Linked DNA regions of Yarrowia lipolytica. The protein of the gene in region 1 purifies or fractionates together with the protein of each later gene. This does not show direct contact. Links are inferred from orthologs where the notes say so. Each region holds a gene or a part of one and is shown on either strand. Other genes may lie near its edges.

The links.
Region 2: the proteins of YALI1_E12730g (region 1) and YALI1_A03322g purify together in Saccharomyces cerevisiae (affinity purification with mass spectrometry; 4 studies listed by BioGRID, with this or other methods). This does not show direct contact. The link is inferred for Yarrowia lipolytica from reciprocal best matches to the Saccharomyces cerevisiae genes COX6 and RIP1.
Region 3: the proteins of YALI1_E12730g (region 1) and YALI1_A17570g purify together in Saccharomyces cerevisiae (affinity purification with mass spectrometry; 3 studies listed by BioGRID, with this or other methods). This does not show direct contact. The link is inferred for Yarrowia lipolytica from reciprocal best matches to the Saccharomyces cerevisiae genes COX6 and CYT1.

Annotation. Positions count from the first base shown.
Region 1 is NC_090774.1:1,270,218-1,277,581, reverse strand, and holds YALI1_E12730g (uncharacterized protein), read left to right. Parts: upstream 1-3,946; coding exon 3,947-4,113; intron 4,114-4,546; coding exon 4,547-4,832; downstream 4,833-7,364. Other genes in the region: YALI1_E12747g (uncharacterized protein), read right to left, coding at 518-2,905; YALI1_E12711g (uncharacterized protein), read right to left, coding at 5,494-5,841, 6,416-6,418; YALI1_E12703g (uncharacterized protein), read left to right, coding at 7,257-7,364. UniProt on the Saccharomyces cerevisiae protein: Component of the cytochrome c oxidase, the last enzyme in the mitochondrial electron transport chain which drives oxidative phosphorylation.
Region 2 is NC_090770.1:327,937-334,819, reverse strand, and holds YALI1_A03322g (uncharacterized protein), read right to left. Parts: upstream 2,571-6,883; coding exon 1,893-2,570; downstream 1-1,892. Other genes in the region: YALI1_A03351g (uncharacterized protein), read left to right, coding at 1-321; YALI1_A03300g (uncharacterized protein), read right to left, coding at 3,153-4,772; YALI1_A03289g (uncharacterized protein), read left to right, coding at 5,573-5,598, 5,642-5,824, 5,879-5,891; YALI1_A03278g (mitochondrial 54S ribosomal protein mL41), read right to left, coding at 6,534-6,883. UniProt on the Saccharomyces cerevisiae protein: Component of the ubiquinol-cytochrome c oxidoreductase, a multisubunit transmembrane complex that is part of the mitochondrial electron transport chain which drives oxidative phosphorylation.
Region 3 is NC_090770.1:1,754,020-1,761,655, reverse strand, and holds YALI1_A17570g (uncharacterized protein), read left to right. Parts: upstream 1-4,670; coding exon 4,671-5,744; downstream 5,745-7,636. Other genes in the region: YALI1_A17622g (uncharacterized protein), read left to right, coding at 1-1,268; YALI1_A17583g (uncharacterized protein), read right to left, coding at 1,520-3,310; YALI1_A17551g (uncharacterized protein), read left to right, coding at 6,525-6,881; YALI1_A17546g (uncharacterized protein), read left to right, coding at 7,017-7,636. UniProt on the Saccharomyces cerevisiae protein: Component of the ubiquinol-cytochrome c oxidoreductase, a multisubunit transmembrane complex that is part of the mitochondrial electron transport chain which drives oxidative phosphorylation.

The DNA.
Region 1 (7,364 bases):
TTGCATGGAACAAGACAACAAAGAACAGACCATGTAAAGAAGGGTCGTGGAAGAGACCAAGACTGTCCTCGACAGACAGCAGGGTCCTCCAGGTCCTCTTCCGAGGGCCTTCTGTCTCGTAAATGGCGGTCTTTCACCTACAAGTAGCGCTGCCACCCCATCGTCCTCAACCCAATCATTTTTTTTTTTTTTTTTTTTTTTTTTTTTTTTTTGCCAAGTAAAGGGGGGTTGGCAAAACAAACGTTGTTAAATTGGACAGGAGCAGTAGCCGAAAACAAACGCCGAGCAATGACCGCGATACTTATGGTAAATGTCAGACGAGAACAAGAGCGAATGCGCGATACTTGTACAATACTCGCGGTCGTCAGATCAAATGCATTCGTTATTCATTATAATTATATATATGCAACGGGACACGCCCTATTATTGTATACCGGACAACCTGCCAGTTTTGGCGGAATGAGTGGCATTGGCCTACCAATACTGTTGTGTAGCGTGGAGAAACAAACCCCTTTCCTCATGCCTCCTTCCAGAATCCGTCCTGACGCTTCTTCATATCCTCCAAACGCTTGTTCCATCGCTCCACCACCTGCTCGTCCACCTGCTCCTGCTTGGCGAGCGTCAGAGCCCACTGAAGCCGTTTCTTGTCACGCGACGCTCCAGGAAGAGCAACTCGATCAAACAACGAGTCCACGAGCTCCTCACACACCTCAGGACCCACCCGCTCGTGCTGCAGACGTAGCTGAGAGATAACCTCGGAAATGTACCGGAAAGACATGCTGTTGGTGAGCTGTTCTGAAGTGGCAAACCCGGGCACCATGGCCCGCAAGATTCGAGGCGGAATGGGGAACATGAAGTCGTGTCTGAACCATCGGATGAGTCTGTAGGCCAGAGCGGGGTCTTCAACAGACAGCGTCTCCAAGTTGGGTTTGTATGTTTCCACACTGAGAACGTCGTAGATCCACTGGTCCATGTCCACAAGCTGTGAAAATGGCTTCTCTTGTTTGCCAATGTGCTGTAGTAAGAACATGTCCAGATCTCGAATCTTCAGGTACTCACTTGGGATCTGAAGCCGTTCTAGCTGAGCCCGTGGAGGCAGTAGGCTCAAATCGAGGTCAGCGTAGGGGTTGGAAACGACTAACCTGGTCTCTGGCTGATCATCGCTCTCTACCTCCGACTCCTCCTTTTCAGCTTCCAAGAAATGGCCTCTTTGGAACCGCCTCCTTCTGGACTTGATTCTGATAGCCATGAGAGCAATAGTGATCAACTGCAGACGTCCGCTTCGATCCACATCGCCCGTCACAGCCTCCATGGCCTTGGATAGCTCAGTCTGAATACACAGCCAGATGGCTCGCACAGACACTTTGGGTAGGAAGTAGTACTCAACTTTTTCAACAGGAGGCCGAGTAAAAATCGCCAGAGCAAAATGCTTCTCCAGAAGCTGAGACCAATGGGGCAGCTTACTAGCCTCGAAGGCACGTAGCAGGTCCCATAGAAGCACCTCCGACTTGTGATATCGTTTGTGAGGCCAGACAGCGCCCACAGCCTTCATGATTACCGAAGGGTGGCTCGAATATGCATCCAACAGACGTGTAATCAGATCAAACTTGTCTGACTCACGCTTGTGTAGACGGTTGTTAAACAACAGATGCAGGTACTGTTTAACTAAGGGAATCGGAGTGTTCTCTCCAAGCACCTTGGTGATGCTACTGGCCGAATGAATATCTCCCAGGGCCACTGCCTTCTCCAGAAACGTCACCATTGTCTGTTTGACAGTCTCATCTTCAGCCAAATGGGCATATTGTGCAGTATATCTTGCCCAGAGACTTCGTAGAGACTTCTGATCGGTCACTAGAGCCGTTACTCGAGCAGTACACCACACTGGGAGGTCATTCTTCTTCTCCAAAACGTCCTTGACCACCCCCAAAAGTCTGGAGTCAGTGATAGCCATTCGTATCACCCTCTCAATGCATGCATGGATCCATTCCTGATGTTTTTCAGCAGCCTGGTTGAAAAACAAGTTGCGCAAAACCTCCGTGTTACCCAATTGCACGTACTTTTCCAACAGCCTCATCTTCTCATATGGCTTAAGAGCATCTTCCAATATGAACGCGCCACTATTGTACTTGGACAACCGGTAGTTGATCCGGTCGTTGTGGTACAGAAAGTCTTGAAGCTGCTGCTCCGTTGCACAGCTATCCAACCCCAGACAAAAATGCAATCCTCCGTTGATGTTACCTATCCAAAACTCCCGGGCCAGCTGTTGGGCAAACCCGTGCTTATCAAAAGCCCTGCACAGTTCGAACGCCGTCACCACTTGTTTCTGTTTATTTTTAGGCCCTCCGTCGGCAATGACCCGGCCGCCCAGCATAAGAATGTCTCCGAACGAGAACTGGTTGGCTAGAAAGTCGGCCACCAGCTCGAATTCTCCATCGGCCACCATCTGCTGACCCAGCAAAATAGCTGTAGAGAGCGGAAGCTGCGGATCTCCTCCATCGTCCATTGAACACGTTTCCCAGAACTGCAGCAGGCTGGAATGATCTATGAGTCGGTTTGCCGCCACCATTCTCACCTGTTCCTCCAACCCCAGATTCATGTGTTTAATCCGCGCCAAAACACGCAGCTTTTGCATCTGCAGCTTGTGTACCGCGCCCTTGGGGCCCTTCTTTCCCTCCCGTATCGGTTGCTCAATCACTTCCTGAACCAAATGCAAAAAAGTCGGCTCTTCGGCCAAGAGAATGTCCTGAATGAACTGCAGCCCTCCCTGAGGCGCCTGAAGCGCACTGAATGCCCTTCTGGGCACCCGAATGGACACCCGCGGCATCTGTATCGATGGAACCAACGCTTTGTAGTCATACCGGGGCCCCAGACCCACGGTACGAACGGCCACGTTGATCCGTCTCATGTCATATAAACACTTTGATCTGCTGTCGACGAGGCGTTTTTTCACGGTGAAACGGCAAACGAGAAGTGAGTGCGCGTGAAGCAGCAGTTTGAACGTGGCTCGGGGCAGTACTGATTCGCTCAGCGTGTTTTGACCTCCTCCGCGTATTGGCCCTTGATTTTTCACCAGAATAATGTCTGCATGCAAACTATGAATGTCGGGTCACGTGACTGCGGAGGATTGAATCTGAAATTTTTTGGAAAATAAAAAGAAAACGAAAAGAATACGAAAAAGAATACGAAAAAGAGATAAAAACAGAAAAGAAAAAGAAAAAGAAAAAGAATAAAAGATCAAATGAGATGAAATCGGCTTGCACCGTGCTGCTCTGATCGGTCTACTTGTACAAGTAGACCCATTCATCATATATATTTGCCAAGTCCTTGTCAATATGTTTTCTCATTCACTCACTACCAATGACTAAGCATGAGCAAATAATGCACCGATATATCTGCTCAATCGCGCATCGTCTAAAAGTGCACTCTTACTCTCCAGACACTCTGACACGCTCTTGTCAGCTTACAACCCTCGAAATGACCTGGCTCGAAAAACAGGCCACCAGCCACACCAGCCACAGCTGACCGTGCATAGCTGACGGCTGATTGGCCAGTTTGTCCCAAGCCCGCATACTGTCGGCAAGGCGGGCTGAGAATGTTGTGGAAGCGCCCCCTAGGAGCGGGTGGAAGTGGAGATGGAGGTTGGACGGCAGAAGTTGCTCTCAAAGTTGTGCGGGGTTCTGTGTCCACCTTGTTTCTGTGTCACGGAGCTCAAACGAGCCCCATCATCCCCCGCCCGGCGATTACTAAAGACTCGTCCCCTATGGCCCATTCCCAGGTATTGGGCCATGACCAAATGTACTGCACATGTCGAAACCTTAATGTTGTGGTGGACTCCTCCAATCAGCTTGCCGAAAAGTTTGGTTGACTTTGCATTTTGGAAAACCAGACCACTTTCGAAACGGTGATATTTACACTCTCATCAGCACGTCACTACCCCAACATCACAATGGTCTTTGCTTCTGCTTTCCGATCTATCGCCCGAGGCTCCGCCCTCAACTCCGCTGCTCGACTGAGCATTGCCCGACCTACCTTCCAGGCCGTGCGAGCCCAGCCTCTTGCTATCCGAAACTACAGCGCTGCTCACGAGGAGACTTTCGATGAGTTCACCACTCGGTGAGTACAACCACATGGAGGATGCGGTTAATGAAACGACGAGATGGACGAGTGTGGACGTGGGAAACGGCTAGTCATACGTGTGGTACAGTGAACACGTGATGACGGTGTTTGCTGTGGTGTCGTGTTTGCTGTTCGGCTATCAGGCGTCAGCTGGGACGAGATACAGGAATCGGCTCAGGGAGACACAATCACAAACGCAGGGAATTGGGAGGTGGAATGAAGACAAGATGACGGTTTTGTCGTCTTTATCCGAGACATCTGACCCTTGATGATTGACCTATCATTCGAACTACAACGTACAATGACACCTCACAGCTCATCACAGCACTCACCATAAACGGACATGACAGAACACCAAGTGGTACGACCAAGACTCGTTCACACGTCACCAATGAGCTGCTGGCCAGTTAAATTCATCTTACTAACACAGATTCGAGAAGGAGTTCGAGGAGGCTTACGATCTGTTTGAGGTCCAGCGAGTTCTCAACAACTGTTTCGCCTACGATCTGGTCCCCGCACCTTCCGTGATCGAGAAGGCTCTCCAGGCCTGCCGACGAGTCAACGACTTCCCCACCGCCGTCCGAGTGTTCGAGGGTCTTAAATACAAGGTTGACAACAAGTCCCAGTACCAGGCATACCTTGACGCTCTCAAGGACGTTCGAGAGGAGCTCGGCATCACCCTCAAGGAGGACCTTTTCCCCAAGCTTGCTGAATAAACGCACTAAAATAGCTAATTGATCGCATATACAAGACACCGCTTGTTTGGTTTCCCTACAAGTACGATAGTGAGCGGCGCACCTGTTGAGGGACATGCTTGTGGAGAGTTGGTGTAGAGCCGGACCATTCTGCTGTATCGTAGCTGTCACGTCACAAGCTGAATAGATCACATATATACTCCGTTCATATCCCTACAAGTACAGTATTCTAATGACTGTAGCATTGGACATCCCGAAACTCGAGCCGCTCTCAATAACATCGCAACCCTATCATGACTGTCATATCAGGGATCGTGTACTGGATGAGTAAACATGCTCTAATGGAAAAAGAAAGCACCGAGAGAAAATGGCCCGACAAGAGTTGTCAGACAAGTTCCGGAGCAATTATTCGGACTTTGTACAAAAAATGAGTACTGTATTTGACAGCTGCACAATGTATGGGTACGTACTCGTACCCGTACATACTGTACTGTAGATACTAGTGATGCCATAAGAAGTCCTCGTCCAATTGTACGAGTATTAGACACTGCGGCTCATGCCCTTTCTTTGGGTACCCTTCCATTCCTACAGCAAGTCAGCATGCCCCCCTTCCACCCCATCCACATTTAATATACATTCTTTTCTTATACATGCACTGTTTGTTCGCCCTGTGAGTTCCGCCTTACTCAAGATCGGAAAACTCATCGTCCTCCTCCTTGGGCACGTGGTCGTCGTCACTAGCATAGCCTCCGTCCTTCTCAATGAACTCGTCATCCTTGTTCTTCTCCTGCTCCGCAACAGCCTCACAGGCGTCGATCCACTCGGAGTAGACATCGATAGGCGCAGACAGAGCGTTGATGCTGGCCTGGAACGACTGGCCACACACCTTGCACGATAGGCTGCCAATGCCCATTTTCTTGTCCATTGAACACACAACCGAGTCGTTGTGGTTGCAAAACAGGCATGCAAACTGGGTTGCCAGCGTTTGTTTCACCTTCTTGGCGGGGGCAGAGGAAGACTTTCGTTTTCCCTGTGTTAGCAGATGTCAAAAACGAGCGAGAGTAGGTGGAGTGGTCGCGGCACATCTGTTCATGAATCATACCAGACGTTAGATTCGACCTGATGAAAGAAGCATGTTGAGCGGCGAATCGAACAATGTAGCAAAACCAAAAAACCGTGACCAGACCACCATCTCGTGCCTGCTTGAAGCGGCGCCCAGATATTTCAGCGGCTGTGGATAACCCGAACGGAAAAGTCAGATGAGCACCACGATAAATACCAACACGGTTCAATGGGGCCTCAGGGTCAACCTCTCGGTGAGGCCATGTCGTCGTGCTTCACTACAGTCGCTGATGAGAAGCCGATAGTATCGAATCGACTTCATAGGAAGACACTCCTATGGGATGGTCGAACCGAACCAGCCGGAAGTACATCCTCGTTCGTGTCATGTCTCGAACCACCCTTGTAATGCGTCTCATGTATGTCATCGCGTAGAGTGATGTCTGAAGTCCCTCTATTGCCGATGATACCACATTCTGTAGTTGCTCTCAAACTAATCAGTCGTTTGTCCAAACCATATGTTTCTCTCCAGCACTCGTACTCACCATGATGTGTTTTTTTGTGTGTATGATAGAGACGCTCTGCAGAGCTTGGATTCTGCGATATTGTATCGAAACTCAAAGTCACGTGGTGCAACGTTGAGGGCAATCGCAATCGACCAGGAGGTGATCAAGACGGTGAATGAAGGTAGCTGGAGAGTAATGTGAGATATCAGGTGATCCGAAACGACCGTTTAATTTAGTCAGCAGAGTTTTAGATAAAAAAATCCGTTGTACTGTACAGTTTGTAGATTGTTGACATGTAGATTTCCTCACTTAGTCATAGTTGACGTTTACTTGGGACAAAGTTATAGTCAACTGAACTGGTCAAGTAGAGTCAACTATACTTAAACGTTTATTAAGTGAGTTCTTCAAAATTTTACCTCCAAATAGATCACACCGTCCCATTAAAAGACAAACACCGCCACAATACACACACAGAACGCCACCCAGACACTGTCGGCACATTCGTAACATTCGACACATTCGACACATTCCTCTACTCGATATGCCCTCCCAATGGTAGTCGGACTTCAGTCAGAGTAACGTTCAGTTGAACTATAGACGACAGGGAGTAGTGAGAACAGGACCACCATATCTAGACCAATAGGTGTCGGATCGACAAGCGAAAAAGTGGGTTTTATTTAGAACAAGTATATATGCGAATTAATGATCTCACAAATGCTATAATCCCAGTCAAAATCTTTGATAATACCTCAATTGGCTCTGCTCAAATCCACCCGCCAGTTTGAGTTTGAAAATCTGCAGCTCTTAAATTTTTTTAGGATTATGCCAAAATTATTTTGCCTGCGATCCACACCCAGACACCAGACTACACAACCCAACAATGGTCGCCAAATCCGCATCCAAGGGAACCCCCAAGGGCACTCCCGTCAAGTCCAAGGTAGCCACTCCCAAATCCGCTGCCAAGGGAACCCCCAAGGGAACCCCCAAG
Region 2 (6,883 bases), on another chromosome or scaffold:
CGAATGGACCAGCGAAAGACGTTGGCGTACAAGGACGTGGCCGAGGCGATAGCTAAGAACCCCAAGCTCGAGTTTCTGCAGGACATCATCCCCAGAACCATTCCTGCGCGATCACTTCAGTCTCGAGGGGTCCAGGTGCCCAAGGAGCCTACAGGCAACATTTCGCTAACCAACTTCTTCAAGCCCAGCGGCGCCGGGGCATCGGCAGGATCCAATGCCGGCACTGGAACTTCTACGCCGGTGAGAGCAAGCACAGCCACCAGCACCCCTGTTCCTGAGGACTCTGTGGAGGGCTCTGCTGTGGCCATTGAGATTGATTAGGGGTGTAGAGGTGTTCACTCGCACGTAAAAGGATGGAATGGGAACCCGGTATATATACATTAATATTGGCATTTGATATGGGGATGTAGATGGGTGCAAGTGTAGGTGTTTTGGTGCGTTGGGTGTGAACGTGATGGAACCGTGCGAGGTATCAGGGATGTTTTTACGGTACGTACATGTTATTACTCGCGTTTTGCCTGTTCTCACAAGCATCGGTTTTCAAGTGAGTCTTGCTGTCTTCACAATATACGATACTTCTCTTCCAGCCAGTCTTGTTTCTGGTGAAGTAAATGGAGTTTTTTTAGTTGGTCTGATTCCAAGTAAACTATGTAATTACTTAGGCCTATTGGACGTTTGGATGCAGAAAAAAACAAAAAACAGTATGATGTACTTTTAGAGAGGTGCTGAAAAGTACAAGTACTGTAAACGCACGAAGAACATCTTCCTTCCGCGGTTGGTTCAAAGAACTGGAGGAAGCCGTTGCAAGCATCTTCAAAGTCTGCACTTACTCAGTTGGGGTTCATTGACTGAACATAGTGAACCCATTCAGAGTGTGTAATGTGAGGCAACCGATGAGAGCGATGAATTTACGACGATTACCGCCAAGAATCAATTCAAGAAAGATTGGAAATATAACTTTTCTTCTCATTTCGTCATTCTGTTTTTTTCTTTTTTTCTTCCGTCTTTCGTCTTTCGGTCTCACCTCATTGCTCCATCTCCAGCTCTCCAACTGCCTCCTCTAACTTCATTTTATTTTGTCACTCCATTTCCCAGTCAAATTAAGTTGCTTCTAATGTGACAAGCCCAACGTCCTAATCTTGATAGCCGAACATGGATTACCCCCTATGTTTGCAGCCGGATGGACGAGACGATGACGTCATTGAGAAAGACACTGGACTGGAAGACTAAAACTGCGATGCAGACAACATTCACAACCGTTCCAAACAGATAAGTCAACGCTCCTGTCCTCTCGAACGACGTCCCGCTCAGCTCCTCTCGTGTTTTTCCTCCCATGTTGTGTTGTTCCGCAACTTTATTTGGTCAGACAACCTCCCAGTGACCAATGGTTCTTGAGACGCAACTCTGAATCAGCAGGTCATGGGTGATGTCAGGAATGGGACTTTAAGATGGTGGCGATGGCGGTCATGGTGGTAGAGACGGAATCTCGATAATGTGAAGAAAATGAGATGGACGATTGTGCAACTTAGCATCCCCTTATATACTTTTATCAGCGATCCCTCTACCACATTCACATGGTAACAGCGAAACCCAACATCTACACTCCACACACGATAACCACAACACACCAGCATGGCCTTTGCAGATATAGCAGATACCACACGATAACGAGGACACTCGGTAGAATTTCAGCATTTCATACTGACATCCCAGCGGAAATCCAGATCTACATCCTCCATCAGTCAAACTCCGCCCATGCTCTTGTCACCGTCATTTGTCGTCGTGTTATCTACATGGTGCTCGTGTCACCGGCCAGACTCGTGGATCGCACTGGCCTGTCAGTCGTTCGATTATAAATTTATTACACTCTCGTGCATGCACTTTTATATCCCTTAACCAATGACCAGAGTCTCGGCGTCAGCAAAGTCGTACTCGGGAATCTCGAGGTTGAGAGGAGCGGGGCCTCGTCGGATTCGGCCGGAAATGTCGTAATGGGATCCGTGGCAGGGGCAGAACCAGCCGCCAAAGTCTCCAGCCTCACCAATGGGCACACAACCCAGATGGGTGCAGACTCCGATCATGACCAGCCACTCGGGCTTCTGCACTCGCTCGTCGTCAGTCTGGGGGTCTCGCAGGGTAGCAACGTTGACCTCGTTGGCCTCTTCAATCTCTTCGGAGGTTCGGTGTCGGATGAAAATGGGCTTTCCTCGCCACTTGATGATGACGTTCTTACCGAGGGGAATGGCACCGAGCTTGACCTCGACCTTGGCCATGGCCAGAACGTCAGCGGAAGCAGACATGTTGGAAAGGAAGTCCTGGACGGTGGCCTTGGCGCCGGCAGCGGAGAGCATGCCAAACGATCCAATCATGAAGTAGGAGAAGAGACGGTTGGCATCTGTGTTTCGGTCCTTCTTGAGGTAAGGAGTGAAGTCGGGGATCTTGTATGTGGACTTGCCACCAATGGGCTGTGAAGAGACAGATCGGGTCTGAGCAAAGGCCTTTGCGGCCACAAGAGGAGTGTAGGCCTTGGGGGCCTTGACGGCCTGGGCGGCGGTTCGAAGCAGGCTCATTGTTCAGTCGAGGGTGAGTGTCAAGAGAGGTTGAAGTGTGGTGTGTGCTTGACTTGGGACCTTACGTGCAAATGTTAGCTTTTGCAAAAACTCCCTCGCAGCGCATATTTCGCCACTGTGATTGGTCCACCCGAGCCCCTACCCTGAAAACCTTAATTTGTTTGACCATTGGGAGAACTCCAAAAGCCATTGGGAGGTAAGGCCATCTCTAAAGCTGCAGTCGGTGTATGGATTGGCAAAATGACGAGTTGCCAAACAAGGCCAAAAATGCACAAATCTCGACGAGTTTGCTTACTTAATCGAGAATAATCGGCCAATTATCCCATCAAACCGGCCAGATGTCTCCTGTTTGTCGAATTGACCGAATTGAATGCACTCCCTCGGCCGCATTATCGTTTCGCTTTTGGTTGGCTGATTTCACAGTGCATTGCTGCCTGCTTTGTTCCGACCCCATACAAAGCGACAACCTTAATCGCGTCCCAACGGTCGGGGGTTCGATTCTTACGGGGGACTTTGACACAGTACCCAGTACAAGTAAATTGACACAAGAAATATAAATACTACAGGATATAAAACTACATCCTAGCAACCATCATGACAGTCAAAGTCATCGGGAATAGCACCGTATTCGTCACTGCTACTTCCACCGCCAGTCACACTGGAACCGTCATCATCCTCTGAACGATCAAACGGACGATATCCGTCAACCAACCTCATTCTCCAAGCCACACTCCAATGAAATTTGGCACCCATAGGAATGGTCCGTGCCCGACCGTAATTGGGAACTGCAACCCTTGTCCATTTCTCTTCCTCGTTCTCAACCCGGTAAGCGACCGGCATGGTTTCAAGAAACCACCAGAACCACGGTCTCCACCAAGGATCTTCTCCACGACCGTTTTCTCCCTGACGTCGAAAGAGATTTAGAGAGTCGTGCATGGGTGCAATAAGACACTCTTCGGGATCATGGTTGTTTCGAAATTCGTCAATCACTCCCTCCTTAAAGATCACCTTAAACTTGACGCTCTCGGAGAGAATCCACGCCAGAGGAATGTCAGAGAGCAAATGTGGTGACCCTCGAGGTAACCATCCTCCCCCTACGTCACCATGGTCACCTGGGAACCACAACTCCACGAGATCTCCTGATCGCTCCGGTCTATGGCGTGTTTTCTGTGTCCCAATCATATGAGATTGTTCAGAGTGAGCACGGAACATGTGGGACAGTTCTGAACGGCTGCTGCAAGGAAATCGACGTCCTGAAGCCGTGGTTCGAATTGATGACCCACTTGCAAGAACCGGTGTGCTCGCACTGATAGGGACAGGAGAAGTAGGGTGTCTCAGTATGACCATCGATCCTTTGGGTGTATGCTGCCGACTCTCAACAGGGCTGACGCGGACACTGGAAACAATACTGGTCTGTGGGCTTGCCTCAGGAGTCAGTTCAGGGCTCTGACGCTCGGCAAATATGCCGGAAGGACCAAAAAGTGTTGGGTTGTAGCAATGAGGGACAAAGAGGTTCTGTTTAAACTTGGCTCGTCGTTCATCAATGCCGACAGCATGTCGAATGTGGTGAACGATACCCGCCGAAGAGGTGTAGGGGAACGAGCGGTCCAGAATAATGCCACTGCTGTTGATGGAGTCCCACAAACCCATGAAGTAGACGCACACAGAAGGGACACTGAATGTCGACTTGAAAGAGCATGCCAGGTTGGACGTCTTGTCTTCCATAGGCTGACCAGCTGCTTCCCACGTCTTGTAGATTTCCCACGCGCAAGGTACCAGTTCGTTCTGGCCTGGAGACAATAATCCGACTCGGTCCAGCATACCTGCGAGGATTCGAGCGGTGAAGGCACCTCTTGAGAAGCCGTACAGGTATATCCGGTCGCCATGGCAATGGTGTTTCATCAAGAACATGTAGGCGGCAATAATGTGTGCATCAAGGGACCAGGCTATTCCAATGTCGACAATTTTTTCTGCGTATGAGTATGCTGCTGACCAGATGGTTTTGGGCAGGTCGACGGTGATGTGGGTTCCGATTCCGGGCTGGTAATAAACCAATTGGTTGGGTGAGTCCTTTTCGAGCATGCGGAACAGCTTGAGGACGTTGGTTTCGGGACCTGCTCCGAAACTGTTGGACGTGCCATCCAGGCAGAGAATGATGTTTTTCCCCATGCCTGGTCGAAGCCGATTGTTGGTGGGTATCATATATCCTCGGCGTATCCTTCTCCACCCAGTGAAGAGCACTGAAAGTGTTGTTGAAAAGAAGAGGTATTGTTGTAGCTGCCAGACTGTGTTTTGGTATTGTGTGCGGGATGGGTATATCTTGTCAGGTGAGGACAAAAAGGTGGCAGGTGAACGCTGGAGATCACCAGAAACACCAGAAACAGAGGAGAATAAACGTAACGCAGTAAATGAGAGCAAGAACAAACAGACTCATTCTGGCGCGCGACGTGAGGTGGGTCCGGGTTTGTGTCTCCACAAGTGCCGGCTGGTGGTGGAGGTATCAGAAGGGCTGGTGTTCAGTGTATCGATGAGACCGTGGCAAACTTGCTGTTCATGAGATGATCACGTGGAATGCTCAGTGGTATGAGTGGTGCGAATGGTATGCAATGGTATCAATGATGTGATATGGGGAGGTGGCTTGCCTAGTGTATATTGTTGTATGTAGTGTACTGTACATACTGAGATAGTTTTACAAAGTTTGGAGCATCGAGTTGGCTGAATATGATCCGATAGAAAGCATTTTATGGGAAGCCAGAAATGGCGGGAAAAGTCGGAATATAGCCGGAAAAGACTGTTTTGTGTCGAAAAGTGCATTTTAATGATACAACCACGAGCACAGTACTCGTACTTCAAGGGGATCTAATGACCCTCTACTTGACACCCCCCTAACACTCCATAAAAACATATTAACGAATTTAAAAGCTTAACTATACTGGACTATCTCCGTGCATGGACATCAGAGAAGTTGCAAATATTCCCATCCAACATTCAGGAACCCAGAAATGATTGAAATCACTTGCAACGATCGGTGAGTATCTATTTTTCCTGATCTACCAACATGTCTAACACAGTGTGGGCAAGAAGGTGCGGGTCAAGTGTCTACCTGAAGACACTATTGGCGACTTCAAGAAGCTGCTGGCAGCCCAGATCGGAACTGCTCCCGAGAAGATTGTGCTCAAGAAGGGATACCAGACCTTCAAGGACCATATCACTCTGGATGACTACGAGATCCACAACGGATCAAACCTGGAACTGTGAGTACGAGAGGAGACGAAGGGTGAGTGAGAAGCGAGAATGAGCTAACCCAGGTACTACGCCTAAGAGAGGTGCAACAAATACGATGACAAGGACCAGTTATCGAGTTATCGAGACACGTGTGGAGCGACATTGTTAGCAGGTTTCGCGCTTTCGCTTTCCGCCGCACGTGACATGAACATGGATCATAATGTATAGTGTCACTCTAGATCGCAACACATGGGCTTAGTGCTCAGCCGAATGGGGCCTGTGGATCAGCTACAATTGGCCTATGAACAGAAGTGTGTGGTGCCCCATCGAATTGAAGATTCGACGTTCGAAAAATATAATAAATCAAATCCAACTGTATTGTATCTATTCTGCGTGGAACTGGACAGTATTTCAGTTTTTAGCCAATTTCTCGAAAAACAAAACCAGACTCTAGATGTAGAAAACAAGCGATTGAAAGACAAATGTACACATACAACAAGTTCTGTCTTTTGGAATAAGTTCGATGAAACAAACCACTCTACTCCTAAGTACACCATCTAATACTTACCACCACCGTCACGTTGACTATCACTACACCGACCTACATCAACTACTAACTCCCACCGTTCTCAATCATCATGAATCATGCTCAATATATACAATTTTCGCCTCCTCTGGTTTCGACTCGTGTCCAGTCGCTCATCCTTCAGGTTTGTGTGTCACGTACCGACACGTCTCTTACTCTCGATCGATCCAGTTCTTTCGATCGGGGGCATCCTCCTCGGCAACAGGGCCGGACTTGACATACTCGTTCACCTTCTTGACGGTGAGCTTGGGGTCGAGGGGACCCGAGAAGCCTCGGAAAGAGTTCTTGATGGGCTCCAGGGTGGGGGACACAAACGGCTTGAGCTCACAAGCCTCCAGACCGGCAGGAACGACAAAAGTTCGGACCTTGTCTCGGTTGATAATGAATCGACCCTTGGAAGTGGTCTTACCGACTCCACCGGCTCCATGGCCCTTGTAGAAGTTCTTGTTACCCTGCTTGGAGGTAAGGGGCAGTCGCTTGTTACCGTTTTTCGACACACCGT
Region 3 (7,636 bases), on another chromosome or scaffold:
TCAACACCAAGGGCAGCCACGCCGGAGTCACCCGAAAGCTGTCAACCATCAAGGAGTCTAAGGAGGAAACAGAAGACGCAGACTCGTCGCTATCGGAACACCCCGAGCTGGCCGCCACAAAAACAAAGCCCACTGCCAAGTTGCGGGCCTTTGCCGTCGCCTCCTCGGTCGTGCTCTCTCCCGGACTGCTCATCATCGACCATATCCACTTTCAGTACAACGGCTTCATGTACGGAATCATGATTGCCAGCATGGTGGCAGCTCGAAACGGCCAGCCGCTCCTCTGCGGAGCGCTGTTTGCCATTTTGCTGTGCTTCAAACATATCTACCTCTACCTGGCGCCGGCCTACTTTGTCTATCTTCTTCGTGTCGTGGTCATCCCCGGAAACTCGTTCAAAAGCCTGAGAATCAACTTCAGAGACACCGTGCTGCTCGGTCTCATTGTTGTGGGCACTTTCACTGTCTGTTTCGGGCCGTTTGTGGCATTTGGACAGCTCGAAAATCTCAAGTCGCGCCTATTCCCCTTCTCCCGAGGACTCACCCACGCCTACTGGGCCCCCAACTTCTGGGCGCTGTACTCGTTTGCAGACAAGGTGGCTGTGACGGTCATGAAGGGCCGAGGAGCCGTCTCTGGAGGCACTAGAGGCATTGTGGGAGACGTTGCGTTTGGTGTGTTGCCCAACGTGTCTCCTTCAACCACGTTCTTCCTCACCCTCTTCTACCAGCTCCTGGGTCTGGGGCCCCTTCTGATGAAACCCACGTACGCGCGATTTGTGGGTGCCATCACCTACTGCGCGTACGCGTCATTCTTGTTTGGATGGCATGTCCATGAGAAGGCCATCTTGATGATCATTATTCCCTTCACGTTTGTGGTGCTACGAGACAAGCGGCTGCTGCTGGTGTTCATCCCCCTGACCATCTCCGGCTACATTTCGCTCTTCCCGCTCATCTACACGTCAGCCGAGTTTATGGTCAAGATTCTGTACACGTTTGCGTGGTTCTGTATGTACTTTTTGTGGTTCAACCACCGGCTGGTGTCGGACCACCGCAACAGCATCACCACGCGCGAGTTTCTGCTTGACCGAGCCTCCTTCTTCTACCAGATGGGATTTGTTCCCGTGGTAGCTCTGTCTGTTATTCTGGACGGACGACCCAATATGGAGTTTCTGGGTCTCATGATCATGTCCGTGTACTCTGCCATAGGCGTGTGTGGCAGTTTTGTCGCCTACTCGTGGTTGTACATGTGTGAGCCCGGAATGTGGCAGTAATACCATGTGCTGAGCGAGTAATTGTGCAGCTCGACGTTTTATACAACGCAAATAATCGCACCATACATCGCAGCCCGGCACCTGCGCTCTGCTTATATACACTAATATATTGGATAGATGATTCAATCAAAATTAACTAGACTAATATAACTTATAATGATGGTAATAAATATGTGGGATGCGCGAGCGGTGAGTATTGAAGCAGTTCTCATGGCCAAAACTACTGGTGTGGGCACTCGGTGACACTGAAGTTACCTCTTCCTCGTCCGCCTCGGTCGAGATGCTTCGGTTCCCTCCTCCTGGGCCTTTTTAGCCTGTTTCGACATCTTGTTCTTTGCACCCAGCTCCTTCTTGCGGGCCTTGCGGTCAGCCCGGATCTTGGCGCACGCGTCGCAGTACCAGTCGCCTCGAGGTGGGTGTTTGAGCCCCACGCACTTCATGTGGAACCACTCCGTTTTGCACTTTGGCGAGTCGCACGCAATCATGCGGCCCTGCGAGCCCTTTCGACACGTGCAAAACACGTCTTCCACGGGCGGTGTAGGGGGTGGCAATCGTCTGTTTGCTGTGGATTTCGCCTCTCCAAGACCTTCCTTGTCCTCCTCTTTAGTATCCTCCTCGACCGCCTCTTCAACCACCTCTTTAATAGGGTTTAGAGGCTTTTCCTTGGAAGAGCTCTGGGACCTTGTTCTTCGGCGTTTTGCGGGAGGAGAAGCGACCACATCATCAGCCACAGGTGGGACTTTTGATTGAGAGGGAACCGTTTCATCTTGAGCTTCAGTGTCCACTTCAGGAGTAGTTTCAACCTCGCCTTCTTCGGTGGCCTCCTCTTCTTCCTCATTTTCTTCTTCCTCCTCATTTTCCTCTTCCTCCTTATTTTCCTCTTCCTCCTTATTTTCCTCTTCCTCCTTATTTTCCTCTTCCTCCTCATTTTCCTCTTCCTCCTCGTGTTCCTGCTTATTCTCCCCACCCACACTCTCCTTCTCCTCCACTTCTACCTCTGACCTCCTTCTCTTCCTTCTCTTGGAGGCCTCCTCGTTGACATTGACAATATCCAACGAGCTGAGCTCATGCAAAATGCGGTTGTCGCGCTTGCGGCGTCGAGAATTCTTGCTGTGCTGCTTCTTGTCCTCGTCGTCTGGAGGCGTTGACGGAATCAGAGGAATAGCTTCTTCCGATGCGGTTGTAGCTGACACATCTGCTGGGGGGGGAGAATTCACAGAAAGAGACGCGGGTATGCTGTCTGGCGGAGACTCGGGTAACGCCTCTGACCGTTTCTCCTTCTTCTTTAGCGACTTGCCGGACTTTTTCTTCTTCGGTGACCGCACTTCCTCCGTGATTGGGGTTTCAGTAACCTGTTCAACTGGTTCTTCAACTGGTTCTTCAACTGGTTCTTCAACTGGTTCTTCAACTGGTTCTTCAACTGGCTCCTCGTCAGCCCCAACACCCTCCACAGGCTCATCCACCTCTTGCACACTTCCGTTGGTCTGTTCCGATTGTGCTGCTGCAGTAGCTGTTTCCTCTGCCTCCTCCAACTCCTGTTCCGACGAGGCTTGCAATTCCTTCTCAACATGTCCCCTGTCATCCTCCTCCAACACTCCATTGGTGTCTCCATTCAAAACCTCCGGTGGAAGTTCAAAGGCAACCTGGGGTATAGCTCCTTGTGTATCCTGTCTTTGTGCGCGTACTCCATGTATGTCGTGGTTGTCCCTTGTGTCGCTCGTGTCCGCCTCTCGGACCACCTGGTCTCCATCTTCTCCACTGGCCAAAACGCGTAAAGCTTGGCGGCCCTTAGCCAATTCGCCCTCAACCAAACGGGCCACGTCAGCAGCTTTCACCGCACTATTGTGCTGCAGCATCGTCAGTTGGTTGTAGATGCTCGATATCTCTCGTCGAACCGACAGTGAAGACAGAGGATACGCGTCGGGGTCGGAGGAGCATTTGGACGTCAAATCTTCCAGCTGCCGCGATAACAGATCGGTGCGGTCTCGAAGCGAGTTCAAAAGAGCCAGCGACCGCACGATGGCCGGCGCATTATTGTTCATTTGCCGCAGATACCGTGTTGTGCTGGTTTGAAGGGGGTTCCACAGTCCTGGGATATTATGACAGCTGGATAAACTTTTCCCGAAAATAAGCTTTTGTGGTGACAATGGTAAATGGGGCAGGTGTTCGGGAACACGAGATGGGGCCAAATGAACGGTGCGGCGATGTCGGGGAGAAATGTACGATTCGAACGGTACCAGAAATGTCAAGTTTCGTCATGTTTAAGAAATAGTCTGAAATTATATTTTGTTCTTTTGGGCGACCTGTGCTTGAAAACCAGAAATAGAGTTCAATAAGTCGGCTTAGTAATCGTCCTGAGAACGGGCAATGTTTAAGGAGAGCAACATTGTAATATTGTATATGAAATGTACAATAGTAAATGTCGATGAGGACATGCATGCATGGACTGGGCGGTTGAACCTTTGATTGTACAGATTATGAGCTGTTAATGAACTTTATTGGGGGAGCTGTATAGCACAGGTTAGGACCTGTATAACTCCTCGTTCGTTACAATTCAGATTATGAGTTAGTTTGCTCGACATTGTGTCATTCGGCGTTGCAGTCTCATGTCCCCCTACAATATCCAACGCCTCCAGATCATACCATATTATGGTTTCGAGGCTAAAGTCATATTGGGCAACCGGCGAGCATATGGGTTAGGGTTCTTTTATTATACGCTAATTGTCATTGGTTGGGAGAAAGGCGGTGGAAATTGGCGTGTTTGAGTGGAGTTGAAAAATAGGGTGGAATGGGTGTAGAGGAAGAGGGTGATGGAGTGGGCAATGGCGGCGGTCGATTCGGGGGCGCAAAGAGGGTTTATATAGATAAATTTGTGGGGACACAAAGACCCACGGCCTCCCCATTTGGCCCCGTTTAAACTCCAAAGACCAATGGCAGCACCCTCTTTGCACGACAACACAAGTCCCAAACCACATTTAGAAATCAGCCAATCACAGGTGCGCTTAATCCTGCTCCCGCATTTTTTACCACCCAAGTACGTTAACTCGGCCTGCTACACTCTTCCATCAAAAGGTTTGTCACCACTTTTGTAACCGATATCCAGGGTGAGTATCGGCAATGGGGGCGCTGGGGCGCTGGGGCGCGGACGACGACTGGAGCCATGTCACCGATCAATTGCCAGTGGGTCCAGGTGGTGTTGGCACTGGTGTTGAGGTGGTCATGTTCTGAGTATTACCGCAAGGAGAGACGAGACAAGTGACACGGAGAGGGAGAAAAGGAAAAGAGGACTGGGACGACAAGGCCAGGTGAAACCACGACTCTGGGCATGTGGCGCGATTCCGTGTCGGTGAGGAGGAGAGATGACGACAAGGATCGATCCCAAAGTGCGACACGCCGACCACAATGTGGGACAGCACACCCAACGCAACTGCAGCAGCAACAAGAGCATCGACATTGCGACCGAGAAACTACATTCGCAGCGAAATGCGACGACGGCGAATTGGCGTGTGGCCCGAGAATCGACGTGTGTCACGTCTGTGGGTCTCATTGTCACCCCGGTCTTGCGTCACTTGCCCCGTCCCAACCAATCAAAACCCGCCCATCAACAATCATCACACACCCATACTAACGCAGATGTTCAAAGCAATCCCCCTTCGACAGGCCCTGCTCGGAATCTCCTCCGCCGTGTGTGCCGGTGCCACCACCACCTACTACTACACAACCAAGGCTGAGGCCATGACCGCCGCTGAGCACGGTCTCCACCCAGCGGAGTACCCCTGGCCCCAGAATGGCATGCTCTCCACCTTTGACCACGCCTCTCTGCGACGAGGCTACCAGGTCTACAAGGAGGTCTGCGCCGCCTGCCACTCTCTGGACCGAATCGCCTGGCGAAACCTCGTGGGCGTGACCCACACCACCGATGAGGCCAAGGCTTTCGCTGAGGAGCTCGAGTACGACGACGAGCCCGATGATGAGGGTAACCCCCGAAAGCGACCCGGAAAGCTCGCCGACTACATTCCCGGCCCCTACCCTAACGAGCAGGCTGCCCGAGCCGCCAACCAGGGAGCTCTTCCCCCGGATCTGTCCCTCATTGCCAAGGCCCGACACGGAGGTGCCGACTACATTTTTGCTCTGCTGACCGGCTACCCCGACGAGCCTCCTGCCGGCGTCGTGCTCGCCCCCGGAATGAACTACAACCCCTACTTCCCCGGAGGAGGCATTGGTATGGCCCGAACTCTGTTCGACGGTGTTGTCGAGTACGAGGACGGCACTCCCGCCACCACCTCCCAGATGGCCAAGGATGTCGCTGCCTTCCTGACCTGGGCTGCCGAGCCTGAGCATGACGAGCGAAAGAAGCTTGGTCTCAAGGCCATCATTGTCATTTCCGCCATGCTTGGACTGTCGGTCTACATCAAGAAGTTCAAGTGGTCCCCCATCAAGAACCGAAAGTTTATCTACAACCCCCCCAAGAACTAGATGCATAGTTAATGAACTAAAACAATTGACACGAAGCAGTCCACGCGTGGGCCGACGAGAAAAAAGCCGTCGGCCTGTGAGTGGGCGTATGAGTTTGAGTACGTTGACGAGGAAGTCATTGAGGAGTCACCGAGGTCACCGAGGAAGCCCAAGACTTTCCAGTGAGCTTAGGATGACGACTGAGCTGTAGCTAGGATTGTAGATTGAGATTGAGTTCTCAGTTGCCAGGATTGTAGATTGGTCTGTAGAGGGCGTGACAGGATGTAAAAGAAAGCGAATGATACCTCGGACTGTACGGGTACACCACAGGCAACAAGTGCGCGTGCTGTAGATAGACCAGGACAGTTGGACTGTGTTGTGATCACTGAATAGCACAGTATTCGTTGGAGTGTTCTTGACTCCATCTGCTGCTTTGTAAGCCGCGACTGGCATGGTGTCTTCTGGTGTCCATCTACTGAGGAAGGACTGGAGGAAGGACTGTGAAGCTAAGTACCCTCGTTGAGTCAGCCAGTGACAAGTTGGACTTGGAGGAAGTGGAACCAACCCCGAGGTTGTATAGCACCATTCACAGCTGGGAGCGCCACCTCCTCCGCTGAGACCAATTGAGAGAATCGTCTGGGTCAGTCGAGGGAGTGGGCATCTCGCGGTTTAAATACCAACTCTAACCCCACACAACATGCACATTGTCATGTACAAAAAAAAAAACATTCATCTTAACCCGAAATTTCATTCCCACCTCTTTTCTCCACCCCCTTTTTCTCCACTGATACCACCAAAACCATGGCGACATTCAGGATCAGCAAATACATCTATCTGCACAAAAACGCGCCGACTCCGCAGGGACTGGCTAGCAGCAGCATTGACCGCGACGCGTCCGAATGGACCAAATACCAAAACTCGCCCCTAGAGCTCTCCATTGATACCACGCCCGCCGGGGGCGCGAAAATTTCCCTCAAATACAAAAACACCTCTTTGGAGCATGTTGACACAGACGAGATTGAGGAGCGGTTCGGATCCACCTACGGAAAGAACAACCCGCCGTTTGTGGCCATTTGTAGACCGCCAGGGATTGGTTTCAAGTACTTGGTGAGGAGATTCCATACCATGGTGAGTGTTCCACGAGTCGGTTACGAATGAGCGACGCAAGTGGTTGTCCACATTACAATATTATTGATACCTTCAACGCCAACGCAGCAATACCCTAACATGATACCCTGAGATATCCTTTTCCAGCTAACCAAGACTTATCGCTTTCAAATCAAATTCGCGTACATGGACGAATACGACCGGGCAGTGGAAATGCTATCAAAGGCGGGAGTGTGTATCAAGGGTAGCCCTCCCAAGTCTACCAGGACTGAAGGTGCCACCCTGACCTCCTTCAAAAACTTCAACCCAGAGTCTCAGTGGAACGGAGAAGATGATGATGGCGACCTCACCCAGATTGATCCCTTTCTCCAGTCTCAAACCCTCTCTCCCACCCAACCTCCTGGTCCAGCTACTGAGCCTCCAGTTATGAGCCAGACTTTTGTTGATCCCCCCAGTTCGTCGCAAGCATCTCCCCCATACCAATTCAAGCACTCTCGGTCTGCGAGGCTAGCACCATCGTCGTCGCAGTCCTATCTGCCGGTGAAGCCAACCCCATTGTCGCAGCCAAGGAGATTCTCTGAGACTTCTACGTGGAAACGCACCGTTGACGATATGCCTTCTTTGGGGGCTTCTCCTGTCAGCTCGCCCCCCAACTCTCCGAAAAGAGCCAAGTCGTGGAAGAAGCACTTTACCCCTGCAGATACAGACGTTCGGAGCGGGAATGGGATGGTCAGCAGAGGAACACAGACCGAGGACCCCGAATGGCTGACTGACACGCAAGCTATGGAGAACCACATTGTGGATGT